Xenopus tropicalis: one gene and its partner. The protein of the gene in region 2 binds, or shares a complex with, the protein of the main gene of each other region. Links are inferred from orthologs where the notes say so. Each region holds a gene or a part of one and is shown on either strand. Other genes may lie near its edges. The genes, in order: pigy and pigp.

The links.
Region 1: pigp (region 2) and pigy share a complex: the UniProt entries of both Homo sapiens proteins name them as parts of the glycosylphosphatidylinositol-N-acetylglucosaminyltransferase (GPI-GnT) complex. The link is inferred for Xenopus tropicalis from reciprocal best matches to the Homo sapiens genes PIGP and PIGY.

What each region holds. Positions count from the first base shown.
Region 1 is NC_030677.2:67,794,282-67,798,754, forward strand, and holds the start of pigy (phosphatidylinositol N-acetylglucosaminyltransferase subunit Y precursor), read right to left. Parts: upstream 2,836-4,473; 5' UTR 2,638-2,835; intron 1,656-2,637; exon of another isoform or gene 1,613-1,655; coding exon of another isoform or gene 1,395-1,612; intron 97-1,394; coding exon of another isoform or gene 1-96. UniProt on the Homo sapiens protein: Part of the glycosylphosphatidylinositol-N-acetylglucosaminyltransferase (GPI-GnT) complex that catalyzes the transfer of N-acetylglucosamine from UDP-N-acetylglucosamine to phosphatidylinositol and participates in the first step of GPI biosynthesis.
Region 2 is NC_030678.2:12,650,785-12,653,774, forward strand, and holds the end of pigp (phosphatidylinositol N-acetylglucosaminyltransferase subunit P), read left to right. Parts: intron 1-1,134; coding exon 1,135-1,247; 3' UTR 1,248-2,196; downstream 2,197-2,990. UniProt on the Homo sapiens protein: Part of the glycosylphosphatidylinositol-N-acetylglucosaminyltransferase (GPI-GnT) complex that catalyzes the transfer of N-acetylglucosamine from UDP-N-acetylglucosamine to phosphatidylinositol and participates in the first step of GPI biosynthesis.

The DNA of each region.
Region 1 (4,473 bases), on a different chromosome or scaffold from region 2:
CGGGCATCCTGTGGTATCATATTTGGGATGCCATCAACAATTGGGTAAGCTATACCCAGCTCGTCATTAATTAACTCATTGGTAGATTCTTCATATCTAGGGAAAAAAAATGACATATAAACAATCAGATCTGGATCAATGAATGGGGAATCACAGCCGTTTATATTTAATGTCGGGAAATTTGATCACCAAAATCAGTACATTTCAAACCACAAGCGTCATTCCATAATCAATATTATATATATATATATATATATATATCGAGCCAAGGGTGGCACACCGCTTCAATCCTTGTCCCGGGTGCACGGTAAAAGAGTTTAAATATTGAAAAAAAGACCAGCAACACCGGATCTATTGCAAACAATCGATTATATATTGAAAAATACATGAACAGCCAACGTTACGTTTCGGTCCCCGTCGGGACCTTTCTCAAGACCGAAACGTAACGTTGGCTGTTCATGTATTTTTCAATATATAATTGATTGTTTGCAATAGATCCGGTGTTGCTGGTCTTTTTTTCAATATATATATATATATATATATATATATATATATATATATATATATAATATATATAAAATGCATTTAGGAGTTCTAGTTAAGCTTGAAATAGCAAAGAGACATCTGCTTGCTGTTAATAAACTGAATATTTCCCTATACAGAGTACAGGCTTAGGTGTATGGGACACCCTGTTCCCCTGCTGACCTGACTGACTACTTTGAGACTCAAATAAAATGCAGTAGACTGTCCTCAGCCTGCCTTCTCCAGTTACCACAATTCCCCGCACATATAATAAGGAATAGGGAAAATAACATCACTGGGCAATGCATTGTGGGTAATGTAGTTTCTGAGTGCTGTCTGTAAGATGTGGAGAAGTTGTTACAATTTGTAACATCAGTGTTTTAGTCCCTCTTCTTTAATCCTCTTCCCAGGATTTTAAATAATGCAGAAAGAAGGTTAGAAGGTTTAGCAGAAAGAAACAGTTTACAGTGCTAGGTATATTAGGGGTTTCTGTGTTGGGCTCTTTAACAAATTTTGGTTCATAAACTGTAGTTCCCCTTTCAATAAAAATAAGCAGCGATATTTTCAATATAAGCCCTAACATTTGGCTAATGGTTAATATCAATATAGTCTTTCTAAAGGGTAATTAATTAGAAATTATAAATAGAACAATACGTGGCTATAACTTTAAGTCAGAGAAACCCAAGTCTGATGGGACACTTTGCTCAAACTAGGGGCAGCCCAGCACTGCAGGGGGCAGTATCCTTGTATTGTAGCCCGCACCTCTGGGGGGAAGCAATGCTTAGGATCATAGGTGATCTTAATGACCCCCCCACCCAGCAGCAGTATACTGACTGTATCAGAGCCCTTTAACCCAGTGCCAGGTATTTTACCTCAGCGATTTCCTTGAGAGAGGGCAGACCAGGAATTGCAAGAGGGTAGGATCAAACGTCTTGCTGTCCTTCAGGCTCTGTTCCGGGGATCTGGCAACTAAAGAGCAGTGCAAGGGCCGCAGTGTGACAGCTGGCAGGGCGCCAGTGGGACAGGCAGCGTTTAGTTTCCGCTGGACTAAGGTATTATATGTTCTTCCCCATGCCCTGACAGCCAGCATGTTCCACTTTCTGCACAGAAACTGACTGACACACAACCTTTACTTCCCAGGAACGATTCCACCCCTTCTTCCTGTGCAGCACTATAAACAGCCCCTCACACGACACAAAGCAGTCTCAGTGGTTCCTACCATGTGCATGTAACTATATAAACCCACAGCCTGCAAAACCCTCAAAATATATCTGAAAGAGTTGTGATTAAAGTCTTTCTGTAATGTTAAACTACCTTTACTTGATATTATTGCTTGAATCTGGTTTGCCCTTTGATTCCTGCGATCACAGATATGTAACCCATTCACTGCCAGGCGATTTTTCCTTCTGTATTTGTGTTAAACCAGGTACCAGCCCACATTGCCTGACAGGTGGTAGCAATTTAATTTCTAACAGTGCTCAAAATAAGTTATAGGTAAACAGGAATACAGTAACAGTATTCCTGTTAAAAGCAAAAAGCTTTGTTCACTGTGGAATCCTATGGAATTAAGATGTTGTACTGTGTTAGCCATTAAAAACAATGCAGAAAATCTGATACCTTTTATTGGCTGAGTAAGAAAAATTGCAAGCTGTCCAAGCAGGGTCGGACTGGGCCGCTGGGACACCGGGAAAAGTGGGCCCTGGCGGCCCAGACCCGACCCTTGCCGATGCTCCCCCTGCCCGAGTGCTCCTCCCCTGACGTGTTAAATTTACACGCTCGGGGGAGGATGTCAGGTGGGGGGCCCTGCACGGGCACCTACAAGGCCCCTGGGGCGGGAGCCCCAGTGGGCCCTTCACTCCGCAGTCTGACCCTGTGTTGAAGCACCCAGGCCCCTTCGTCAGGCAAAATACAAATGAAAGCTGGAAAGGCACAGCATATATATAGATCATTGAAAAGGTTCATGGGCAATAAATTGAGAACCCTATAGGACACAGAAACAGGGTCGGGCTGGGGGGTGCAGGGCTCACTGGGGCTTCTGCCTCAGGAACCCCAGCCCCCCCCAACCCCTGCAGAGGCCCCAAACACCCTCCGACCATGCTTCTAAAAGAAACTTACCTGCGGTATGTTGGGGGAGGGTGACGGTGGATCGCGGGAGAGCCCTGGGGGAGGGGATCTGGCCCGCCGGGGACCAACAGGTTTTTTTCCCAGTACCCCAGCAGCCCAGTCTGATACTGCACTGAACAGGTTGCGGGTAGTATAGAATGCTGCAGCACAAAGAATCACAGAGTAGGGAGTAGACAAGGTAGAAAGCTACAGCATGGATAAAACAGGGAGGAAGTCAGGGGGAGTATGGAGCTAGTCGGATGGGGTATGTGACAGGTAGGGAGCTGGGGGGGGGCTTCTGTGGTGGGGAGGGAGTTGAACACACACAGATATCTTAAAATGGACACTAGATAAAGATTGTTCTGTCTGCTGCAATTTCCTGTGCACAGGGACATTTTACATTGCTGTGGCTGGATCTTATCTTCCTTATTTTCCATACAAGTTCAGTTCTTCTTCTGACAAACTTTGGGGGCGATTATTCTGAGACCACACACGGTCCAAAAATTGTTTGAGACTAGGTTTTGTATGATTTTATTGATGTGTGTATGGCCAGTTTGTTCTAAGCCAGCAGTAATTAAAACAACATGGCAGCAGGCTAACCGGCTGCAAGGGGTATTTGATCATTAGGGGAGCTGGTTGTCATGAGTGTGCATAGAGAAGCTGGTGAATTACTGTTAGTGTTGCCACCTTTTCTACAAAAAATACCATTCCTTCTCTTGTTGGTAGCTATCTTGTCTATTAGTACTGTTGGAATCAAATTTCAGTTTTATTGGTCAGGCCTGTAAAATAACTGCTGGGAGGCAACTCTATTCATTATATGTCAGGTAGTGGATAGAAAGTAGGGACGCACCGAATCCAGGATTTGGCCAAGATTATGCTTTTTTCGGCTCCTGGCAGAACTGAATCCGAATCTTAAAAATCACGTGACTTTTTGTCACATAAACACGGAAGTTAGAAATTTAACCCTTCCGTATCCTAATTAGCATATGCTAAAAAAAAAGTGCATTCGGTGCATCCCTAATAGAAAGCCAGCGCGCCCTGGGTGGCTTGACTGTTTTCTGGGTTAGGTGGAGTTTAGGGACCTATTTGGTTAGGACAATCCGATGTGGTTGAATTAACAGAACACTAGGGAGCTGTTTTGGTCCTGCACTAATATTTTTCCTTCAACTCAAGCTATCCCAAGAAAGAATAGTAACGCAGTTATATGCACAGACTAAGGGGAGGATAGGGCCAGCAAGCTACTTGTCAGCAAATTGGGAGATAAGGTCAGAGTCTGTAGCCTGAACAGAATCTGATCTAAAAGGGCAGAAGTCTTTTGAGCACCTCATTGTTAAATGTCCCTCATTAGTAAAAGCCAGTAACTAGCAAGGGATTTTTCAGGAATGACTTTTCTATTTAATTAAGCTACCCCTTAAATAGGGAAACAGTTTCAGGCACAAACATATGGGAGGCTAGGGCTAGCAAGCTTTTGGGGCAGCAAAACGGGAGGTAGGGCTTAAGTCTGTAGCTTGAACCAAATTCCATTTAAAAGGAAATAAGCTTTAAAGTGCACCTATCATCCTCTCATTTTTCCCCTGTAACCTATTTTTGGCACACTTCTGCAGAAATTGGATTACACTCACTTCTGGGAACTGGGTTTTACAGTGCAGTGCCTCCACCTAGTGGTCACTGAGGAGCACACCTCAGGGGGATTCCACTAGAAAAATAAATCACACACAGTTTGCAGAAAAGATAAACTTTATATAGCAATTTAGAAAAATGTAATCACTGTAAAAGGCAAATAATATGACCCTGCTTTGGGAAATGCATGTTTCATTTAACATGCATTTTAACTAAACTTTTGGCACA
Region 2 (2,990 bases):
CACCTTCCAAAAAGTTCAACTTTTGTCTCGTCGGTCCACAAGGTATTTTCCCAAAAGTCTTGGCAATCATTGAGATGTTTTTTAGCAAATTGAGACGAGCCATAATGTTCTTTTTGCTTAAAAGTGGTTTGCGCCTTGGAAATCTGCCATGCAGGCCGTTTTTGCCCAGTCTCTTTCTTATGGTGGAGTCGTGAACACTGACCTTAATTGAGGCAAGTGAGGCCTGCAGTTCTTTAGATGTTGTCCTGGGGTCTTTTGTGGCCTCTCGGATGAGTTGTCTCTGCGCTCTTGGGGTAATTTTGGTCGGCCGGCCACTCCTGGGAAGGTTCACCACTGTTCCATGTTTTTGCCATTTGTGGATAATGGCTCTCACTGTGGTTCGCTGGAGTCCCAAAGCTTTAGAAATGGTTTTATAACCTTTACCAGACTGACAGATCTCAATTACTTTTGTTCTCATTTGTTCCTGAATTTCTTTGGATCTTGGCATGATGTCTAGCTTTTGAGGTGCTTTTGGTCTACTTCTCTGTGTCAGGTAGCTCCTATTTAAGTGATTTCTTGATTGAAACAGGTGTGGCAGTAATCAGGCCTGGGGGTGACTACAGAAATTGATATTGAAATTGAAAATTGAAATTGATAAACCACAGTTAAGTTATTTTTTAACAAGGGGGGCAATCACTTTTTCACACAGGGCCATGTAGATTTGGAGTTTTTTTTCTCCCTTAATAACGTGAACCTTCATTTAAAAACTGCATTTTGTGTTCAATTATGTTATCTTTGACTAATAGTTAACGGTTTTTGATGAGCAGAAACATTTTGTGTGACAAACATGCAAAAGAATAAGAAATCAGGAAGGGGGCAAATAGTTTTTCACACCACTGTATATATATATATATATATATATTCTGTAAATAACCTCCCTTGGTGCTACATTGTCAGCCCAAGGATTGCAATGCATGCTGGGTATACAGACTGAAAGCAGCCACTAGATTGGCCAATATCCTAGTGCAGTTTATTGCAGTTATGGGCAACCTCAAGAACTCCCAGTGCCGCTCAGAGCTAATAGATGATCAGCGGTACCTGTTCTTTCAGTGCCACTGAGTGTTGTAATTTGTAAATTTTTACCACAATTTCCAGACTCTTATGCCAAAAATCAGCAAGAGAAGGCGTGCCAAGAGGATGCCATCCCAGCACTGAGGGACATTTCCATCAGCGAGGTTAATAAAATGTTCTTCCTCACTGAGAGATGATGCCGGAAGATCCTTCGGACCCACAAAACCCCATTCTTTATGATAATTCATGTAGCTATATATTTCTGGACTGTGTTTTATTTATTTATTTTTTTACTTGGGCCCCATAAACCAATGGGTGCAAGTGTTTTATTTAGAGGTGCAAATGCGCAGACTTGGAGATGTGGGAACAGCAGATTCTGCAGAGGTCTATGCTCCCAGTCACATTTATACTGTGCTGCCACTTCACTTGCTATATAAAAAAAAAAGCAGTTTACCTTGAAATTCACTTTTATTGGAATTCTAAGACAGTTTGCAATTAGTGATTATTTAATATTTGTCATTTTGAAAACCCATACAAACCATTTTTTGCTCTGCAACACTGAGGCTTGGAATTTCAGCTGCTATCTGGTTGCTAGTGCTCAATGATCTTAGCAACCAATTAGCAGTTTAAAAATCAGTATGATGGAAGATCAATAGGAGAGAGCTAGAAAAGAAAGATAAACATCTAAAAATAAGAGCAGTAAAATTAGGGTTGTTGCCTTTTCTGGAAAAACAAATGCTGGCTTTCCTAGATTTTTTATGTTTTTTTCCTATTAAAACTTTGAGCATTTTTTTTACTGGCCAGGTGGCCACCCCAAATACAATTGAACCCTCCAAATTGATTTCTTTTTCTGGTTGGTGGGGTCAGAGATGGCAAACTAGATAGGTTTCTCTGTGACAAGCTATACCAAATAACTAATAGAGACTAGTTACAAATTTGCTCAGAATGGATCCATACTGAATGCTAATATAAAGGTGGACTTTCCCTTTAAGTTTTTCCTGTATGATCAGAGAAGCTGCCGTGCCTTTTATCCCTTTCGTTATAGTATTGTCATTTGCACTGTATATACAAACATGAGGCCTGCTATTTGTATTTCAACACACTTGGTTTTATTCAAAATCCATTAAAGCAACACTGTGCTACATAGCAAACGAGAATGTTTATGATTTATATGTACATGATATTCTAAAGGGGTTTAATAACTGGGTGGGACTGGCCTGGCCAGGTACGATTCTGCACCCTGAAGCAGCCTTTCCAATGCCACCAACCATGCTTACCTTTCAGAGATTAAAAAATGGAATTTCAGGGTCCTAAAGATTCTCACCCTCAGAGGTAGGCCAAATGGTGCGGGCACCCTAGGGGGCCCCAATCCCCTCAGTGCACGCATATGTGCTTTGATAAGTGGGTGGGACATGCAGTGACAAGTGCAGGTGGGGCAAGAGAGCTCAGACTAGGTGTAGGCAGAAGAGGTACCTACCTAGTGCCCCTTACTGTTGCACCCTAGGCACGTGCCTTTTCTGCCTCCCCCTAGTTCTGGCAGTGTCCATGGGCCTGCCAGAATACCAGAAGAACCCCCAGCCGGCCCCCCACATCGGCTCATTGATGCGTTCCCTTATCCGATGGAATCTGGCCCTAGGGCCGTAAGATCAAATTAGCCTAATATCTCCCACATATCGGGAGAAGATCCGCTCGCTTGGCGACCTCACCAAACAAGCGAATCGTCCCGTGTATGGCCACCATACCTCTATGGCTCTGCGCATCAGAATCAGTGAGCAGAGAGGTGGGGTTGGCTAGCAGATGACGGCTGGGGGCTTGCCCATTGCATTTGGCCCAGCTCTGCATATAGCCATGCTGATAATTATTTCTTCAAAGATAGTTGCATACAAATGTGTCCCCAGTTACCTCTGTCATGTCCCTTAATGAGCCTGCAGGCCTTCCTG